Linked DNA regions of Mus musculus: regions 2 and 3 are each reported to be linked to region 1. Evidence: microRNA targets listed by miRTarBase, many of them from high-throughput screens and not tested one by one. Region 1 holds a microRNA gene; each other region holds the end of a gene's coding sequence.
Evidence for each region. Region 1 holds the annotated microRNA mmu-miR-449b (AGGCAGUGUUGUUAGCUGGC, at 2,867-2,886, shown strand). A microRNA usually pairs through its seed, bases 2 to 8, with sites in the 3' UTR of a target mRNA and lowers its output. Matches are read on the target gene's strand: a 7mer-m8 pairs with bases 2 to 8, a 7mer-A1 pairs with bases 2 to 7 and ends in A, and an 8mer does both.

Region 1 (7,188 bases):
CTCACAAACTTCCTGCTTATGAAGTAGCTCCCAAGATCCAGCAAGAGAACTTGGCCAGTTCCCCAATTCCCCAAGTGGACAGTGCGGATAATTTATTAATTGGAAATGTCAACGCATTTCTCGGCAGCCTAGACACCCCCCCCCCCTTTTTTGAGTTTGAGTTTGAAGACAGAGGAGTTAACATGCTCATTGAGAGACATGTTTACGTTCAGGAATTTTCACAAGCGATTATCACTAAGCAGTAAACAGAAGGGTGAGAATTACTGCACGCGTCCAAATTTGATAATCAGGGTGGGGTTGAAGAAAAGGAGAGGGGAACGGAAAAAAAGGATTAGAGTCAGTTAGGACGAAACGTTTTTGCTTTTGAAAACAACAGTGAACTCCAAAAACCCCGCTTCTCTACCCGCCGACTCCGCACCTCCTGCGGGCTCGGGCAGGAGGCTCAGGCCCGCCACTGCTCGCGGCAAAGCTTGGCGCTGCGGCGCGCGCCGCTCGGGAGGCCCAGTGCGGGGGCGCGGGTAGGAGGGCGGGACCCGAGCGAGCACCCCGACACCCCAGACTTGACGTCATCGAGGCGCTGGCCTGTGGCGGGACCGACGGAAGGAGGTTCCCGCTTTGATTGCCGCCCCGCGGGCTTTTTAAAGGTTACCCTGGGGAATACGCTCCAGGAGCTGTGGGAGGAGCGAGGGTCTCGGGGGTAGGAGGGCAGGTTTGATGGGTTTAGGGGGACGAGGCTAGCGGTTTGGGAAGTCGTGGTCCTGCTTAGCCCCTGAGGGGGAGAGGCAAGGCGTCCAGGAACAGCGCACTCACTCGGAGATGGAGTGGAAACTGCAACGCACCGCCCGGAGGAAGATCCGGACGGAAGAAGAGATGTTGTGGGTGCGTACCATCCTTTTCTTTCTTGACCCAACCCTCCCATGGGGCTTCTTGCAGAAGGTACGGTTTGTAATACCCAGTAAGGACCAAAAGATGCCATGAAATTCTACAGCCTAGTTTAAATTTTGAACGGTGTGAAATTTAAGTTCTGGAGATACCTGGTTGCTTTAGAAAGAATGAGTGAATCAGCAAACCCAGGATTCAAAACAATTCCCCACTCTCCGTGACGATTTTCCTAGAGTTTTCTCCCTTCTTATGTTAATCTATTTCCAAAGGAGAACATCATGCGGGTGCTCGCCAACGGCATGAAGCAGCAGCGAAATCAAGGTTCCCCCAAGGTGAGTTTTCTGGGCTTGCCCTTCTGTCTTCATTCTGATCTCGAGCAAATTAATTCTTGCTATAGAAGGCATTTGCAGGAATTATGGGAGAATTAATACAAATTAAAAACCTTTACAGAATCTGAAGACTTAAGAAATGGATTCTCACAACTGATGTAGCTACTTATACCTGCTTAGCGGGCGCTTCCCAGTGTCCGGCTCCACAGAGGATGAAGTGTGGGTGTGTCAGGCAGGCAGTGCATTGCTAGCTGGCTGTTAGAACTTTATCCCAACAGTTGCTAGCTGCACTACCCTCTGCTGCACTCAGAAGCATGCAAAGACGTGGAAATAGTGCCATCTGGTGGATAAGGAGGTGTCTTCAAGACAGCTACTAAAAGCTGGATCCAATATAGTATTTCTGCCCCTTAAAGCTCTAACCCAAAGCTTGCAGTTCTTTTTAAAAGAGTGTTCTTTTGAAACTCATTTTTATTACCTTGTGTTTATTTACCTGCACTTATATCTGTGCATCACGTGTGTGCGTGGTGTCCGCGGAGCTCAGAAGAGGGCTTCTGATCGCCTGGAACTGGAGTTTCAGGCTTTTGGGGGCCGCCCTGTTGGTGTTGAGAATCTAATCTGTGTTCTCTGGAGGAGCAGCCAGTGCTCTTTTCAGCCGCTGAGCCATCTCTCCAGCTCCTGTACTTTCTTTAATGGATGAAAAAGTTAAATCCTCATCTGACTCACATCTCTAGCACCACTTACTTCTCTTTACACCAAATAGCCCACATGCTTTTAAATTTAGATTATTAGCTAAAATCTCACCATTTGAATATTTTTCTAGATAACATACATTTTTCTATATTCAATCAGTGACGCTTGAAATCAAATATATAGCTGGCCTTTTAAAATGCAGTGACTAATGTCACCTATAGAGAAATAACATTTAAAAGCCTTTACATTGTGTCTTTAGTTATGTTTCCTGCCCAAATTATTTTATCTTCTAGATACTTTACTGCCTAATTCAATTGAACTTTTGTTAATTCATTTTTACTTTGCTAACATCTTTAACTTAACATTAAATTTGGAAAACCCAAGTATAAGAATACAGAGTTCTTAGTCAAGCACTTAATGCCAGCACTTGGGAGGCAGAGGCAGGTGGATCTCCCGGCTCCAGGCCAGCCTGGTCTACACAGCAGTTCCACATCAGCCAGGGCTACAAAAAAAAAAAAAAAAAAAAAAAAAAACACAAAAACAACCTGTCTAGAAAAAAATTAGCCAATCAACCCCCCACCCCCAAGGGGGAAAAACAAACAAAACATCAAAAACCACATTTAAAGTTCTTAAAAGTTTTTTTTTTTAAAACATGGGTATAGCTTGGTAATATAAATTTTGTTTCTTATAGTTTAGGAGACATTAAACAAGGTTTCTCTATAAATCCTCTTCAGTTACTAAGATTAGAGTTCTGGGGTTGGCAAGAAGGTTCAGTAAAGGCACTTACTGCCATGCTATCCCAGGAATTCACATGGTGGAAGGAGAAAACTGGCTCCCTCAGAGTTCCCTTGCTCTCCGTATCCACGCCACCACACTCCAGCAGCTCTGCAGCAGTGTCTTTCTGTTAGAAACTTAGCCTCAGCCACTCCACAGACTGTGAAAATCCGAACTTGCCAGACTCGGGTAGGCAGTGTTGTTAGCTGGCTGCGTTGGGTCAGGCCAGCAGCCACAGCTACCCTGCCACTTCCTTCTGGCTGGGTTCTTCTTGTTAATGAGGTGCGCTGTCTTGCCTGTGTGTGATGGCTTGGCAGTGTATTGTTAGCTGGTTGAGTATGTGAGCGGCACCAGCTAACATGCGACTGCTCTCCTATTGCACACACAATCACCACCAGCATGCATTTACAGCTCATGTATGTGCTTTGCCATGAAGAGGGGTACTATTATGATAACAGCTATTAGTGGCTTGGGGTGACACAAGGACATATTTATAGCAGTGAAAGTACTAACCATTGTTACTTTAAAAACTCAAGTAATATTTTCTGAGTCCTAGCTTGACATTATCAAAGCATTTATAAAGTTATGTGTTTGTTGTTTTAACACAAGATTTAGAATAAAATGGAAAGCCTTGTGTATTTGCCCAAGTTTCCAACTAAATCAGTTTCATGATAGAGTAGAGCAGGTCTCTCCAACTTTATGTATACACCAAGTGGAGGGAGAATTTGTGTTAACTTTCAAAATGACCCACACGTTAAAACATCTTCACTAGAAGTATCTAGACAATTTGGGATATCTTGGGGATGTGGTAGGGATGGGCTTATTTATTTGGGGAGACAACTCAGTTCTTCCATTTTGTATAAAATATTGCAAATATTTTTTACAATAATTGGAAGGACATGAGATCTAGTTTATAAAGAAAGAAGAAGAGCTGGCCATAAATATTATTTAAAATACTTCCTCATTCTTTGGAAGGCCGTTTGATTCACGGAACAGAGTCAGAGGTCATATGGTGACCTCAGGTGGACATCTGCAGGAAATCACCAGAACTCACTGTGGTGTACTGGTGACTACTAGAGACATAGAAGAGAAAAGAAAAAGACTGCACTCTTTAAGTTATTGGGCCAAAATCTCCTGATGAAATAAATTTGCATTAACTATTTAAATGTAAATATATTTCTTAGACATAGGTTAAACAGATGCTATTATCTGATTCCTGTGTATTTTACTATTTTCAAATCTCATCCTTGGTGTTGCTGCTGTTGACCAGTATTATTTTATGATGGTCTTTGTGTTTAAGACAGCTAAGTAAATAGTATTTTCATTTTTTTTTTAGAATTTTTATTTATTCCCTGAGAATTTCACACATGTATACAATGAATTTTGATTCTATTCAACCCAAACTTCCCACTCCCTCTGGACCCTTTCCCAATACCTCCCTTCTACCTCTATGGCTTCTTTTAAAAAATAACACCCTGAGTCCAATTAAAGCTGTCCACATTCCCACGAGCGGGGGGCCATCTATCTGATCCACTACAGCTCCTGCCCGTGAAGAAAAATGACCTCCGTTTCCCATTTGTCATCATTCTCCAGCGGCTCTTCAGCTAGGGTGGAGCCTCCGGGCCCCTCCCCACCCTGCTGGATGGTTAGCAGGCTTCATCTTACACAGGCCTGCTTATCTGTCGTTAGTTGAGGAGTGTAAGGACCATACAGGGCCAGAAGACAGTGTTCCCAGTACTCTTCCTCATTCCCTGGCTTACATTCCTTCTGTCCCCCTCTTCTACAATGTTCCTTGACTTTTGTGGGGTTGATATAAATCAGACACATCAACAGTCACTTACTCTCAGTACTTTGATTTATCATGTTTTCATCTTTTGAGATAGGGTTTCTCTGTGCAGCCTTGGCTGTCCTGGAACTCACTCTGTAGACCAGGCTGGCCTCTAACTCAGAAATCCGCCTGCCTCTGCTTCCCAAGTGCTGGGATTACAGGTGTGCGCCACCACTGCCCAGCCCGATTTCATCTTTTTTTTTTAAGGTTAAATTTCTGCATGTTTTTTTTCTTTAGTTAATGACTTGTCGATAAAAATAAAATCTACTAAACCTAGAAGGCTTTTCTTTGCGTTTTAATTGAAAAGCAAGGCATAAAACACCAACATTTGCACTCAATAAACATGTATATATTTTGGAATGTTGGGATGTAACCTAGGACCTTGTACAAACACCCCCATGCACGCGTATTGAAAACACTTCCTAATTCTATATTACTAAGATGATGAGAAAGGAGGGCGGAGTGGAGTGAAATCAACGTAAGGGCATGAGATCCATTGGTAAGGAGAAAAATGAAGGAAGAAGAATCGGCCAGGCATAGCAGACTACACCTGTAACCCCCAACATCAGGAGTCAGAGGAGTTTAATGCAGCCTTGGCTATAGGACAAATTGTTTGAAGCCAGTCTGGGTTTTGTGAGACTCTCATTCCAAAATAAAACAGCAAAACAAAAAGCAAAGCAAAAACAAAGATGAACTACTACTAAATATAACGTGTCTGTGGGGGTGGGAGAGGAAGGGAGGGAGGGAGAGTTATACACGGGGAAGCCAGGGAAGCAGCAGCCAGGAAAGGATGAGCTGGAGGCAGGAAAACCGCAGTGCTGTCCACAGCACCTGAAAGGGAGCCCTGCCCCTTTGCTACCCCATTCTGAATTCTCTCAAGGGCAGTGCCCCAGCAGAGTCCCGGAGGAGAGACCCAAGAGTGGCAGGGATTCATTTGTAGGCAAAGCGACAGACAGAATTTACTGCAAGTCAACCTGAGGACTCAGTATGGGTCCACGTTATCCAGGCTGGTCGTTTTCTCCCACGGAAACACTATTATGTACAAGGGTCACTCAGCGCTCCCAAGGCTTACTCAGGACAGACTGCTAAAACATAGTCAATATTTGAAAAGAAAACATAGTTTCTCGTTTCCTTCTTGGGTTCCCTCTCCCATTTCCTGTCCTCCTCTTCCTCCCCTTTCTTCCTCCTTTCTGCCTCTCCCTTCCCTCCCCTCTACTCTCCTTACTTCTGCCCTGCCCTCTTCCTCTCCTTTATTTTCTTTTTGACCTGCATATTTTCCTCCTTGAGGCTATCTGTATAGAGAGAGTGTGTAGGCCATCAGACTTCGCTGGGATTAGGCAGCGTTCCATAATTCAGAAACTGCATACATGTCCACATTTGTATGGACCCCGTCAAAATAGTGTATTTACAATAAGAAAAAGGGCATGTTTGATACATTTCACGTTAGCCTTTTCTCTTTGGGGAGCCTTATGACACCTTTATCAATTCTATTTGTAAGGATTTTTTATTTGCTGGAGCCATCTTCGGTTGACTGTGAGAAGCAATGGTTAACGATCTCAGAAAATATACAAGCTAGGTACTAAGCCATTGATACTGACGCTGGTCACATGGGAACATTTAGGCTATGAAATTATACAGCTGCTATACAGGAAAAGTCCTCATATATAAACACATATATATGTTCACATATATAACATAATTTGTGTATATTATATATGTGCATATATGTAATTATAGTGCACCTGTAACATGTATATATGAATACATATATAACACATTATATATGTGTATATAACTTACATATGTTATATTTATGTACACATATATAGATGTACTATCATTTTTATGATTAAGAGGTGCCGCTTTCAGGGCACATTCATATTAATTTCAGTCCCACTGTTCTCTGCTGATGCATCTACCAAGAATAGATGAGTTTGTATGATGAACTTTAGTCAACAAATTATTAACTCAGCGAAGGTACATGCAACCACATCTCTGTTTTGCCTTGAAGATGACACCTTTTCACATACTTCCCACGTCCTGCAGCAGCCTGTATCTGGGAAGCAGTAGCCCAGTTAAGTTGATAAGTGCGACCCCCTGAGTCGTGAGTGGCGGCACACTAGCAAACAGCTCTTCTCCACTATCAGCTGAATGTTAGGGGTCTCTGAAGGGACCGTTGAGTTTCTGCCAGGGCCATTCACAGAACATGCTTTTAGAGCCTTGCCTGCCCGCTCTGCCTTTCCAAGTGCGAGGGGAGACTGGCTATTGTTGAGAGCATGGGTTAGATAAAGCAGCCTGACCTGGAGACACTGGATGGATGGAAGCTCTTGATATGGCCCCGGAGAGAAGTGGTGACTTGAGGACATCAGAATCACATCTACTGGGACAGTCAAGGTCACTCTCTGTTCAGCTTTGTGATCACCCACCTGGTAGGGTGGGTCTGCACAGCCTGTGTGTGTGTGTGTGTGTGGGGGGGTGGGCTGCATTTCTGCTCAAGTGCCTGGAGGGAGCATGCTCAGATGCTGCCTGGGGGGAGCATGCGCAGATGCGTTGACAGAGCTTTTGGTGCTCCGGAAAATCAGGAGTCGGAGGACGTGGCAATAAGAGCCTGGGAAGTAGCACTAGGAGGGGTGGGTTCTGCTCGAAATTGAACTTGGAGACCCAGAATGTAAATTGCTAGTTGGC
Region 2 (7,197 bases), not on the chromosome of region 1:
CAGTGACATCTGTGCTGACAGGAGTTAGCCAGACAAGGTGGCAAACCTATTTAATCCCAGCACTTAACTTAGGAGGCAGATGCGGGTGTGAGCTCAAGGCCAGTTTGGTCTACAAAATGAGTTCCAAGCCAGCCTAGGTTACATAGTTAGACTCTACTCAAAAACCAAAACCAAAACCAAAACAACAAAAACCAAGTCAAACCAACCAAAATATAGTGAAATCAAAGTAACCTCTTATTACCCAATAGCTGTTCAGTGAACAGTCTCAACCTAGTGTCCAGTGAATCTATGATCCTAGTAAGTCTCCTAGAGGAAAATGTTCCCTGATCCTTCAGGTCATCACCACTAATTTAGGGTCCTTTTGTTATATGTTCATAAAGGAATGTGCATAGGCAGGTGTGTGTCCCTGCATGAGGCCAGAGGTCAACATGTTTTTCTCTATCATTCTCCACTGCCTTTTCTTTTCCCTTTAGTGTGTGTTCGATGTGCACAGGTTTGTGTACAGATGTGTGTGCTCACAGGCCAGGGACATCAGATTCCCCGTTGTGTCACTCCCAGCCTTAGGCCTGGATATAGGCTCTCTTACTGAGCTAGGCTGGCAGTCAGCATGCCCCAGTTGATCCTCCTGTCTCTGTGCTCAAGAGCACTGGGGTTATAGACACATACGGCCATGGTCAGCTTCTCAGATGGGTTCTGGGGTCAGACAATCTTTCTGCTTGCAAAGCAGGTGAACTTCCCCCATTGAACCATCTTCCTGGCCCTTTCAACCCCCCCTCCCCTCAGTCAGGATCCCTCACAGAACTTGCAGCTCATCAATATGGCTATGCTGGCTGGTTGATGAGCTCCCAAGATCTGTCTCTGGCTTCCCCTGCAGTGTGGTTACAGCTGTACACCACTGTGCTCAGCACTTTTATGGGTGCTGGGATCCAACCTCAGGTCCTCATGCTTGAGTGGCAAGCACTTTACCCCTTGAGTCATCTGCCCAGGCCCATTAGTGTTCACAATCACTAGACTATAACTGGTCACTAAGATCATAGGACGGATGGTGACTGAGTAGCGACATGCTGATAATGGCTGACCATGATTGATGTTGCCTGGCTGGCCAGTCTCGGAGGGTCACTGGTTACAGTCCCTCCAGTGACTGGCTGCTGCTCTCATAGGTCTGGTACATGGATGGTTATTACAAAGGCCGCCGAGTGCTGGAGTTCCGTACTCTGGGAGACTTCATCAAAGGCCAGAACTTCATCCAGCACCTGCTGCCACAGCCATGGGCAGGTACGGGCCATGTGGTATACAATGGCTCTCTCTTCTACAATAAGTACCAGAGCAATGTGGTGGTCAAGTACCACTTCCGGTCCCGCTCGGTGCTGGTGCAGAGGAGCCTCCCGGGGGCTGGTTACAATAACACCTTCCCCTATTCCTGGGGCGGCTTCTCGGACATGGACTTCATGGTAGACGAGAGTGGGCTGTGGGCTGTGTATACCACCAACCAGAATGCGGGCAACATCGTAGTCAGTCGGCTGGACCCTCACACCCTGGAGGTCGTGAGATCCTGGGACACCGGGTACCCTAAGCGCAGCGCCGGCGAGGCCTTCATGATCTGCGGTGTCCTCTATGTGACCAACTCTCACCTGGCCGGAGCCAAGGTCTACTTTGCGTACTTCACCAACACGTCCAGCTATGAGTACACGGATGTGCCCTTCCACAACCAGTATTCGCACATCTCGATGCTGGATTACAACCCCAGGGAGCGGGCCCTGTATACCTGGAACAACGGGCACCAGGTGCTGTACAACGTCACCCTGTTCCACGTCATCAGCACTGCCGGGGACCCCTAGGTGCCCCTGCAAGGGCTTTGGGGAGCCTTCCCACATCGCCTGTGACCCCCACCCCAGCCTTCTCTTGGTCATGCCCTTGCCTTCCTAGATTCCGTCTCCCCACTTCCCCAGCCCAGCTTTCTGTTCTCAGTATCTCTACCCATGCATTTCCCCCATTTTATTGATCTCTGCTTTTGATACTCCACTTCTGAGTCTTTCTGCCTTTTTATGGATGCTTCTCTTCCTTATTGATCGAACCTCTCTTCTCCTCTCCCTCCATCTACTCTCCCTCCTCTTCCTTTCCCACTTTCCCACATTCCTTACCCCTCACTCCCACCCTATCCCTGGATCTGAGTGCATGGATTTTGTTTTTTAAATTTATTATTTACATGTTTTCTTTCCGGGTTGCCAGAATAAACCGGACCTTTGACATTTGGTGCCTGGGTTGTTTTGTAGCTAGTGTTAACTGCAGACTTGTCTCCACGGAGTCTCTATTACCTGTGCTTCTGGTGTGACCTGAGGTGGCGTCCTTAGACAGCCCTTCCCAGAGCTTGCTAGGCCCTGGAGGAGCCTACCCAACCCAAAGGTGTTTTAGTCGAATGCCATTAATTTAAAAGCAACTGGATCAGAACAGCATAGAGTTCTATTATGGCGATGAAAACTGGCCTTCAGTGAGCATTCCCCAGAGCTGTCTCACTCACTCATCACACCGGCACATCACTAAGCTGTCTGGGTCTAATGGCTTTTTAACAGTTTGGATGCTCTTGAGGTTTGGACCCCCAATTTCTTCTCTGCTATGTAATTGCAGAGACCGTTTTTACACAAGTCATACTAGTTAACTGCAAGACTCAACTAAAAGGTGTACCTAGGCAGGGTTTGAGCAAACCCACTGCACTCTTCTTAGAGTGGGGCAGAGGTGTACTCAGTGCAGTGGGGACAGGAGTCCTGAAACTGAGCCATGAGCTACTCCTCCTTAGGTAACTCCTGGCAGTCTCTCCCTTAATAAATCTATTCATGCTGGGTGTAGTGGCGCACACCTTTAATCCCAGCACCTGGGAGGCAGAGGCAGGCGGATTTCTGAGTTCGAGGCTCGAGGCCAGCCTGGTCTACAAAGTGAGCTCCAGGACAGCCAGGGCTATACAGAGAAACCCTGTCTTGAACGCCCCCCCCCCCCCAATCTATTCATTGTTAAACAAGCACCAACCAAAGCAAGCTAACAAAAACTAGGTGGCATGATAGGGTTAGGCAGCCAGAGGCCTGGTGCCCCCAGCTGTGACATTGCGGGGGTGGGGAGATAAGAGGATTGGTTAGGAAATGGGCGGTGCTCTATTTAACCTTGAGCTTTTGATCATCGGGATCTTGCTTCCACCACCATGCCTGGTTTGTAACGATGCTGAGGACGGACCCCAAGGCTTCATTCATGCTAGGCAAGTATTTTGCCAGCGGAGCCACAGCATGCTGAGGGCTTCATGTCAGCCAGGTCTGTGGTATAAGGGCATAGTGGTTCTCAAACTGTAGGTCAGGATCCCTCTGACAAACCTCTATCTCAAAAGATATTTATGGTTCCTAACAGTAGCAAAATTACAGATATGAAGGAGCAACAAAAATAGTTTTATGAGCTGGGCAGTGGTAGCGCACGCCTTTAATCCCAGCACTTGGGAGGCAGAGGCAGTGGCAGGCAGATTCCTGAGTTCGAGGCCAGCCTGGTCTACAAAGTGAGTTCCAGGACAGCCAGAGCTACACAGAGAAACTCTGCCAAGTTTTATGGTTGGAGGGTCACCCTAACATGAGGTATTAAAGTCACAGCTTCAGAAAGGCTGAGGCCAAGGCATCACAACTTGGGAGAGCAGTGAGTTATGTGCGGGGCTTTCAGCTGAAATGGAGCAGTGAGCAATACATGCTGCTCCCCATCCCCCACACCAGCCCACCGAACCCACGGCAGGGACAGCATGTGCAGATCTTCACTGGCCATGACCCCGCCCTGCTGAGGCCACCAGGAGGCTGCTGTCCCATCTCTAATTAATGGCCTCTGTGATTAAATCATCTCCGGGAACTCAGACTTGGATGCCATATTGGGAAGGAAACCCATGAATAATGAATGGGGCTGCCTAATGCACTCATTTAAAACCAATTTCTAAAGGCATCCTCGAGAAGAGCAATTAATTCCCACGTAAGTGAACAAGCACGACACTGGGGAAAAGAATAAAGGCCCGGACTAGCATGACAAACTTCATGCCACTGAAGACAGCAAAGGCTTGGCATGGAGGAACCCACTAGACATACCAGTTCTGGGGAGGCTGATGCCACCCGGGTGAGATCTTGTCTCAAATTTCCAAATAAGGAAAAGGAGTGCGCATGTCTCCTGCCTGTAACTTGTGCTCAAGGTGGTCATGGTCTCAGAGTCAAAGAACCAGGCTGCACTTACAGCACTGTGGAATTCTAGCCTTTGCTAGAGTATACTTGTGCCTAGAGACATGTTTCCATAAGGATAGAACTGATGTGAACATGTCTGTCACAGGTGGGCACTGAGTGTTTACTTGGGCCAGAGCATCTGATAGTACACCCACTGTGTCACTCTTATACGTATGCACTCTTAATGTATACAGTCAATGAATACATGCACACGCATGTGCACATGCATGCCTGAATGCAAATATACAAATTACTCGGCACATGCTGCAACTACAAAGGATTAGCAATTGGTCCTACCCGCCTCACCCATCCACTTCTGTTCATTTGTCTGTCTTGAGCTATGTGGTGCTGAGTTAACCAACTTGCTCTAAATCATAGATGACTGTTTGGCTATAATCAGGAGGCTGCCATTCCCTACTGCAGCAATAACCCAGAATCCCCTGTGTCAAGTCTAAGAAGAGCCCATTAAGAATGAGCAGTGGAGTCTGCACAAAGAGAAGTTTCCATCCCTTGGGGGTGGGGGGTTGTTACACTGTTGCCATCCTAAAGGCCCAGGATTTATAGCCAGTTCCCAGTAGCAAGTCTGGGTGGGAACTTGGAGCAGGTGAGGGAAACCACAGGTAGTTAATAATATATGCTGGGGACGCTGAGTGGGCTCCTGGGGCTCATTTATCTAACAGCAATGTTCAGTCTTAGGTTTTTACAATTGTGTAGACAGGAAAAGAGGTTGGCAGGGGTCCAAAGGACAGACCCTAGACAGTGGGTTGGGATCATATAGAACATAGATACCAAATCACATGGCCACACATAGGGATGCACAAATTACCACTATGGTAATACCTGCTTCTTACAGGCAGTGGATCAGATGTGGCAGTGGCCCTAGGGAGAACCTCCCAGAGCTCTTGGTGTTGCAAGCTAAGCTAGAGGTCCTCTTCTTCCCTCCAAAGGTCCCATGATACTTGGAGGGCTGCCACTGCCTCCTGAGCCCACCCAACTGTTGCAAGACAGCAAAACTGTGACTGTTTGCCTTGAGTCCCCACTGGCCCACTGGAGAACATTTTGCTGGAGGTATAGCCAACTCAGCTCAGCCTGTGCCTGTCTGAGCTGGGAAAAAACTCATTAAACCTTCCTAATGACAAATGCTCCAGCAGGCGGCTGGCAAAGAGCGATTGCTCTAGAAAGCAGCCAGATGGGAGCAGGCTCAGGTGACTCTGTTCATGAGACTCAGGCCTGTGGGGAGGGAGGGCTCTCTTGGGGTCCAGGCTTAATGTTGCTCTGGCCCCCAAGCCTTGCTGGTTAGAACATCCCCCAGGCTGGGCCCCCCATCACTTGTGGGTATATGCAGAAACCTTGATTGAATTCTGAGCCCTCAGTCCTTAGGCTCAGAGGCAGTTGTGGGAGACATAGGGCCCTAGCCAAGGTGGGAGAGTCCGCCTTCTCTCCCCACCTGCCACTCAAAGCAATATCCATTTCCCAGCCCCCTCCAATAGGATCTCTTTTCTTCTGGGAGCTGATAAAGCCCCCCTCTCCTCCAGTTGAGGGGGCCTCTGTTACCATGGAAACAGCACCTGGAGAGTGCTAGGTCTTGTGGCTGAGCCCAGGAATATCCAGTCAGAAGTGGGTGGCAGATGCTGGGTGATTTGTTCTCACCAATAAGCAGTCTGTCTGTGTGCTGAGGGGGAGGGATGGGCACCGGGGGTGTGCCAAGGCAGATGCTAAGCCAGGTTCTCTTGGGATCACTCCAGACCTAACAGCTGGAAGTGGGGTGGGGTGGTGGGGTGGTCTGCGCATACCTGAACAGTCCCCAGGGTGCTTATACAAGTGGGTCTGGACTGGTGGGGCTCAGAGGTATTTGCAGCCCTGGGAATATAGCTAGTGGAAAGAATTCTTGCCAGCACCCCCCAAGCTGTGGAAAAGAAGGTCTTTTAGAGCTAGAGAAGAGTCTGGACACGTGGGTAAAAGCCCCATCCCTGAGACAAGGGCCCCACACCTCACCAGGAAGGTAATGATACAGGACCACCAACCAGTGGTTCCAGATTTAATGGAAGGTGCGTAGGGTGCTGCACTGCACCCTGAGGCTGAGTTGCTGCACCGCCAGGTATGGAGCGTCTGCTTTTTGCAACTGAACAGAGGAACGAATGGAGCATATAACTAACAAGAAAGAAGGCCCTCCTGCCTGCCTCTGAGACCTGGGGGATCAGGTCACCTCTGACCCCCTGAGCCTGGGGGCCTCCCCATCCCCACTGCCCTTCTGAAGTCAATTCCTCCAGAAGGAGCCTGGCTAGGACAGCCCCGAATAGGGGCAAACAGGGAGCGGGATGCTCAGAGCCCCTCCCAGTCATTTTAGGAACAATAAATACTGTGTGACAGTAGCAGGAAGGGCATCCGTGGGCTGTGTGGCAGCCAGAGCAGGCTGGCCAGGTGCCTGCCCTCATTCTGTGCGCAGGATGATATGGATGCCCGAGTCCGTGAACACGGGCCCACTCATCTCCCCTGTCCGTAGAGCAAACGACGCATCCTCAAATGGTTTCTGCATCTGACCTGTGAAACAGCAGACAGTGGAGGTCAGGCACAGGCTGCACAGCAGATGGGGCTCCTGCCTGCATTCAGTCTCAAGCATATTCATCATGGGTTTTATAGCCCTGTCACTGTGCAGTGATGAGCTGTGGCCCAGCTGAGAGCCACAGGCCCATTAAGGAGGCCCCGGGAAGCCCAAAGACAGCGTGGGATAGTAGGCAGAGCTGTGCTGTACATTTAGACACACTGCATGATGAACTCTGGATTCCTGGCTGAACATTATCTATCCTGCAGGGAGGTGGCCAGGGCTGACAGCAGAGGCTTGCTACCTGACTCCAAGGCAGGGGCCCACACCTCACACTTCCAGCTCACGCCAAAGAGATGAAGGAGAGAAGATGGGGGAGGAAGAAGGAATCTACTTTCCTCTGCCCTTGGCAGATAGGTCTGAGCT
Region 3 (7,171 bases), not on the chromosome of region 1:
GTCTAAGAGAACACAGATGACCCCCAAACTTCACTGTGAAAACTCAGTTTCCTTACCCCTTAAAGAGCACTGGGCTGCGTAAGGTTTGTCCTGTCTCATACCATCTCCTCCTTTGAAACTGAGCCATGTGTTTGAATGTAATTGGTAGGATATGTAAATTGTATTTGATCTATTAGGACACTGAGAACGGTTCCGTTTCCCTAAAAGCTTTCATGTGCGGTAGCTTTTAACTGAGCTCATTGATGAAGGCTTGTAAGTTAAATGCATTTGCGGGGTATGTAATGGACGCTTGTAAACGCCAGCCTCATCCTCGGCTCAGCTCAGTCTTCCTCCCCTTCTGTTTCTCTTCCAGGACAGAAGGGTATAGAAAAGTCCCCTATCACTACTATGAACAAGGGAAAGATGAGTGTAACGAATATCTTCTCCATGAACATGCCCCGTATGGGGGACACAGGTTCATCACCGAGAAGAAAGTGTTTGCCAAGTGGGCCAAGAAGCACAGAATAGTATTCACACACCCGAACTGGACGCTGTCCTGATGCCGTGCTTCCCGACCATGACACTGCAGCTGTGGTGAAGAGAGGCTGATGGTGCTGACGGTGTAGGCAGGATGTTCAGGGTGTGACCATGGCCCTGGACATTCTCTGGTGTGGATACTGACTCTGTTAGTAATTTGAACTTGGCGTTCCATGGGAGGCGGTCATGTTCATTCTGATCTTTCTGGTGGTTCGGCCCTATCAATTGCACTTTAAAACTTACCTACGGTTGAAATGAAGGCCAGTGACCTGATGGCTGTGACTAAAGAAAACACGAAGATTACCTTTCAAGATAGCTGCTCAGAATTCTTCAAGAGGCTTCCAGAAGTGACGACTTCTGCCTGCTCAGGCAAGCTTACTGAGTGCACGGGCTGCTCCCCATCTTGGAAAATGGTGGACTATCAAACACTGTCCCAAGTCATCCTTCAGGGTATAGATGTCATGCCACAGTTACCAGTCAGCCTGATAGAGGGGAGGTATCTCTTTCTGATATGCCATCTTCCTTCCATATGTCTCTCAGCGAAAGCCTCAGGCCACCTACCTAAATGTAGCAATGAAGGCATTCTGTAATTCCTGCGTACCAGGATTACTGGACTATCTCAGAGACTTAATTCAAAATGTATCAAGTAGCAAATATTGACAAATTTTCACTCAGACAGCTGTGCTCTCACTACTCAAAACAATATAACTAAACATATTATTACAGTTACCTACGTTAATGTTTAGTTATTTTTGGTTGAGTGCTAAGTATTAACATGTTAGATATACTTCAACACTGTAATAACACATACTGTGAAAGCATTTCTTGAGCATAACCAAAGGGTTTCTCTCTCTGCTTCAGCACTCAGTACCAACAAATGAGATGCTTTTTGAATCACAAAACAGGGAAAGCAAGACATATTTTTGCATCAATTTGTATCCTATCATATTCATAATATATATTTTTAAATTCAAATTTCTATTTTATAAGCTGAAAGGGTATCTTTCCATATACATTATCAATGCCAAGTGCCAAACACTCTTTATACCATCAAACCCAGGCTGAGCTTTTGCCTTCATGGGGTTGACCATCCCTTAGGTTATCAGATGTTCTGCTAGGACAGTAAAATGGTGACGAGCTTACTTCCCAAAGTGCTTCGCTATGCTTCACATATGCTGTGTGCCATGTGACACCCACGGCCGCCTCACTGGATGATTGCCGGCACATTCTGCCACCCCCAGCAGCTGATCTGCATTGTTAGCTGTGTTCCTGTGTCCCAAGTTGCTCTGCCTCAGAATATATGTATAGAGTAGCATTTGTGTAAATTAGTATATGATTGAGTTCTCTGCCAAATACAGCAGAGATTATACAAGATGACCACAAGGATGGCTGTGTCATAGATCAGTACCCTATAAGCTTAGATACTTTTAATGTTTTTGTTTCTGTCAGTGGCTCTGTTCCAGGGCTCGGGGACAATGGATAGGAATGGAAGCAGAGAAATACAGTTCCCTGGTCTAGGCCTGAGACGGCTTCCTTCTCCGTAGATCAATGGTCCTTAAATATTAGAAGTTGGTTTTCTGAGACACTACCAAGCATCTATAAATATCTTGGCACAACAATTCAAAAGCTAAAACCAGGCTGCATTTAATGTTTTAGAGCTGGAAATAACAATACACCTCAGCTGTAGAACCTTGACAGGGCTAGGACTAAAGGCCATGTGACGTGTGACGTCATTAAGATGTGCATCTTTCCTACCCTACACTGTCACACTGATAGACATCCCACACCCACACCCACAAGAGTTACCCAGCCCCAGCCTCATCCCTGGGAGGAGTGGTTATTCTATTGTTTGCTTATGTGACTTTTTTTTTTTAGTTCTATGAATGTTAGATTTTAGAGCTGATAGTGATTCAAGATGCCCACTTAAAGGAAAATAAATAATAGCAATGTTAAAATTTCAATGTGAGCGTTGTTTTCTCTCAGTTGTGATGCAGTTCTGCTTTTACATGAAATGAACACTCAGTTATCTGAATGCCTTCAGGAGTGTGTAACCTGATTTGTGTCACTGCCCAGTCAGTGGTGGGCTAACTCTATTTTGGTGCTTACAGATGAGAGACTCAACAAACATACTCTCCTGCCTCCCTAAAGAGAGCTATAGCTTCCTCTTGTGTGGGCTTTCCTCACACTGTGTGTGGAAAAGGCAGCGTCCAAATTTAAGCCTGCAGTCGTCTGGAATGGCATAGACAGTGGCCCTCACCCCCCTTCTCTCTCCCTCCCCCTTCTCTCTCCTTCCCCCCTTTCTCAGCTCTCCTCCTTCTCTTCTCTCTCCTCCTCCTCCTCTTCTCTCTCCTCCTCCCCTCTTCTTCTCCCTCCTCCCCCATCCTCCTCCCTCCTCTTTCTTTCTCCTTGTTGTCTGTCTCCTTTTTTGCAAAGTATGAAACCAAAAGCACTTCATGAAGACCCAGTTGAGTGCCTTTGCAATGAGGGCTTTGACCAACGCTCAGGAGTTGCTTTCCTCTGAAGTAATACTTTTCTCTGCTTCCATTTCCTGTCCCTTTCTTCCAGCCTTAGTTCTGGTAGAAATGCAAAGTCTAATTTCTCCCATGTGAAGGAGAAATTCTCCATCTTGGACTTGGTGAGAGAGTGAGACAAGTGGGTGGGCAAGGGCGAGCATTAGTCAAAGCTCCTGTTGGCCCTGCAGGTACTAGTCCACCGAAAGATTTTATCCACACCCAAACATTAAAGTTAAATGACCTCACTCAGCACTGCTACATAACTACCTATATATTAATTAATATTTATGAAAAGAAAAATGGAAATGTACACACAGACACCACAACTCAATGGCATACAAGAGAGTGAGAGACTCTGGAGTACTCTATCCTAAGAAATATTTTTAAATAAAGTCATAGAATATTATTTCTAATTCTTTAGAATCCTTTTTAAAAACAATGGAAAATGTAAAGTATTTAAAGTCTCTTTGAAGTTAGCCTTTGAATAAGTCATATTGATGTTGTAATTGACAGATGATTTTTATCTTGGCGACAAACTATCAAAAATGATAATTAATTTGAAGGTATGTTTGTCTTTATGAACATGAAGTCCATTTGTGCATGTAGTACATGAATGGGCAGTGCATATATATGTACTTACAACTGTATGAGAAAGCATGCATATGATTCCACAGCCTTTGCCGATGTGTGACTCATAGAAAGCCTTATTTTAGACTTCAGCTGAAATTTGTTGGGTTTCATTTTGAATCCTGAAAAGGAAAAAAAAAAAAATCCAAAGTAAATGCGCTGATTGCCGAGTGTGTATGAAATCACACCGCATGGCTGGCCAGAGGAATAAAGCCAGAGAAGATGCTAAATCTAGAACTGAGGATACAATCAGATGTACAGTTGTCACCAATCAGACACACAAGTGTAGCAATCAGTGTCAGCAGACTCGACCACCTGTAGCTCAGCGAAAGCCACACAGAGGAACATGGCGCTGGGCTCCGTTCCCTCTGTAAGCCAGGAGGCGACATTCTGCATGGTTTCTGTTACACGGCCATAGAGCAGGGGCTGTTGTGGGAAAAGGGTCACTATGTAAGGAGAGGTTTTTTTCCTCTGCAGTTTTAGTATGAACCAAGCTGACTGGGAAGCGAGCGTGTGAACTGAACTGGGAACCTGTTGACCTTAAGAAAAGGATGTTGCCCTCAGAAAAGCTTACTCATGACCTTCTTGGAAAAAAAGACAACATATATATGTATGTACGTATCAAGCACTTAATATGCCCTGTAAAATGAGAGACTCAGCCACATTGTCCGGTGGCAGGTGGCATGCGTTAGGACACGTGAAGCACGATTCCGGAACAAGGAAGAGGCCACCCTTAACTGCATTTCTAACTGGCAGAAGCTCATCCGTTGATTGTTTCTGTAAAGAGACGCTGTGACTTCGGGAGCCAGTGCTCAGCATCCTATGCACCCAATATATAGAGATGCAAGGACCTGGAAAAGCCGCCAGTCTGATCGCCGTGCCTGCAGCTAAGGAGTGAGACTTGGGGACCTGAAACAGCTCAACTGGTCCGATGACAGTCCTGACACCCAAGTCTTATCACTGACTCCTGCTCTAATACTCTTCCCACTGTGCCCTTTAAAATGCTAAATAATAACCAGGGGAGATGCCCATGTGGTTTACTAGAAGAATCTACCATGGCCCACAGGCTCCACCAGCATAGGGTCTCCTCGGACCAGAGGTATCATCCCTGCCCTGAACTCTACAGTTGTCTTGTACAACTTGGATAGAGCCTGAGTTCCGCTCTATCTGCTGCGTTCTCCACGTGTATTGCTAAGACCAGTGGTGTTCTATTGTCATGAGATGTTGCAGTTCATCTAGAGAACATGAGGGCACGTTTCTCACTGTTTGTCACTGAGGATGGGCAGCCCTTGGCATCTGGCGAGCTGCGTGGTGAGAGAGGCCGCTCACTAACCCGGAAGGCTAAGACTCAGAGAGAGTAGTCCAGTGTGCGGGTGAGTTCCTGTCGGAGGCCTCACATCCTCTGCAGTATATACAAACACCCAGTGTGCCACAAGATCCAATTGATATGCATGGTTTGAGAGTCCACTTACGTGGCACTGTCACAAGTGGGGAAGCTGGAAACTATATCCATCGGGCTCTTCAAATGATCCCCGTGGCTCAGGGATAGTGTGCTGTTTTGTTGCTTGCTTTTGCTGACCATACAGACACCACCAGAATAAAATTGCATTTAAATTGCAAAGGCATTGAAACAGAGCTGTCCTTGAGCGTTGTAACAATACAGAAAACCGCATTTTGCCATTTTTTAAGCCCCTTACATTTTTTTAAAATCCTTTTCTTCTCCGAATAGGCACAAAATTGTTTCTGAGGTAGCAAAGTGCCTCTTTCTCTACAAATAGGTCTCTTCCTGTTCGTGCTTTAGAGATCGCAGAAGAACAGAAGCTCATCTCATAGGTGCAGGTGAAGAGCACGTGACGGGCGCAGGCGAAGAGCACGTGACAGGCGCAGGTGAAGAGCACGTGATGGGCAAGTGCCGCATCCTGGTATTTGCTGACACCCTGAGCAGTTTCTTCTGAGAAACTTTAAAAGGATGGAAACCTGGGTGTTGATAGACCCTTGCCCCCCAGGCTGCTGCAAAGAGCTCGTTTCCTTGTGTTGCACATCTGTCACTGGCCCTGCATAAATACCAGTCCCATTCCATGTGGGTTGTGTATGCCTCACTTGTGTTTGTGAGGGTCTCACCATCTTCGCTGCCTCACTTGTGTTTGTGAGGGTCTCACCATCTTCGCTGCAGGTGCTTATTCACTTTGGAACCTGTAATATTCATTTATGTACAGACAAGAGACTGAGATGCACAGCAGTGAGCTGGTCAGGGGCTTTGTCCTCTGGGAACATAGTCCTTTATTTATAGACATCTTAAAACGAAGCTTACCGTTTGGCAAAGGGCGAGTAGCAGATTTTAGTTTCTTTTTATAACAGGAGAAATGAGGGTGGGTTAACAAGACAGGGTGGGCTTTTGTGACTGAAAGAAACAAGGATCAAGGTATTCGTGCATGTTATATTTAAGGCAAAAAGATACCCAGGACACGGCTTTACCAGCCTGTGGAATCTTTGTAGTTCACTTTAACTACATTTGTTATTTCTCCTATCTGTGTTTAAACAACTGACAGAATTCAGCCACAGGAGTAAGCATTTGGGCTCACAAGAACATGATCTGTCCCGGCAGTGAAGGTACCAAGAGCAGCTTGGCCCATGGTGGCGAATGGGCAGCAGAGAAGAGGAAGTCAGGCTCAGCTGGCTTTTCTCCTGACACCTCAGCGCATGGAATGGTGCTGCCCACGTTCAGGCTGGGTCTTTCCTCCTAAGAACACCTCTCTCTCTGGGAACACCCTTGCCAGCAGAGTCATGCCTTGTTAATGCCATCAGTGTTCCTTACGCCAATCCAGCTGGCACTCAGAATTGATTATCATGCTGCCTGGGGCTGGGCTCTTGCTCTGCAGGCTTATTAACAGCGTCAGGTTAGTGCCCAGGCTGCTTCAATTGCACACTTTCTTCTGCCTTCCTCACTCCGATATCTTTTGCTGCCTCTTCTTTCGTTTTTTCAAAGTCAACATTCTCACCATCACGTGTCATGTTTAGATAACTTGTCATTTTACAACTCGGCTTACGTTCTTGATCAACTCCATGAGAAACCCACATTTGGATGATGTCTCAAACTGAGTCGACTTTGGAAATTAATAACAATAATTTATGCATAGCAGCTGTGTTAAAGGGCTGAGTATTTGAGTCGATCCCCCTAATATTCTGTGGTATATACATAATATTAGTGTCATTCCACATAAACAGCTGAAGCATACAGAAGTAAGGTGGTTCGCCACAGTTCAGATAATAGCAGTGAAATAAGGTTTGAATACAGGTGATTTGAATACAAGGATAAACTGGATGTCTATCCAGTCAGGGTAGTCTGAAAAGATGTAACAAGAACCGCAATGTTCCAGTAGCTGGTCGATGAATTCCACACGCATGCTGCTTTACAGCCACTTTGACTCCATGGAGCTCAACCTTCGACCTGTTGATTTGTCTTCTTCCAAAGCCATGGAGTCCTTCCTGTTTGGCTCATCAGTGCAGAAAGAGCA

Region 2: the mRNA of Pin1 is a reported target of mmu-miR-449b. The part of its 3' UTR that is shown has no 7-base or 8-base seed match.
Region 3: miRTarBase lists St6galnac3 as a target of mmu-miR-449b. Seed matches in the 3' UTR shown: 7mer-m8 at 2,580-2,586.

Annotation. Positions count from the first base shown.
Region 1 is chr13:113,034,563-113,041,750 of GRCm38, forward strand. Mir449b (microRNA 449b) reads left to right here and starts at 2,857; the gene lies at 2,857-2,936. Cdc20b (cell division cycle 20B) reads left to right here and starts at 817. Exons shown (of 12, transcript NM_001281487.1): 1 at 817-879; 2 at 1,152-1,214. The coding sequence starts at 817. Mir449c (microRNA 449c) reads left to right here and starts at 1,421; the gene lies at 1,421-1,529. Mir449a (microRNA 449a) reads left to right here and starts at 2,972; the gene lies at 2,972-3,062.
Region 2 is chr9:20,662,748-20,669,944 of GRCm38, reverse strand. It overlaps Pin1 (protein (peptidyl-prolyl cis/trans isomerase) NIMA-interacting 1), which reads right to left. Exons shown (of 4, transcript NM_023371.4): 4 at 6,233-6,770. The coding sequence ends at 6,661. It overlaps Olfm2 (olfactomedin 2), which reads left to right. Exons shown (of 6, transcript NM_001357635.1): 6 at 1,161-2,255. The coding sequence ends at 1,838. Among named protein-coding and RNA genes, the nearest start is that of Pin1, 14 kb to the right of the region's middle.
Region 3 is chr3:153,198,773-153,205,943 of GRCm38, reverse strand. It overlaps St6galnac3 (ST6 (alpha-N-acetyl-neuraminyl-2,3-beta-galactosyl-1,3)-N-acetylgalactosaminide alpha-2,6-sialyltransferase 3), which reads left to right. Exons shown (of 5, transcript NM_011372.2): 5 at 353-3,435. The coding sequence ends at 539. Among named protein-coding and RNA genes, the nearest start is that of Gm33066, 22 kb to the left of the region's middle.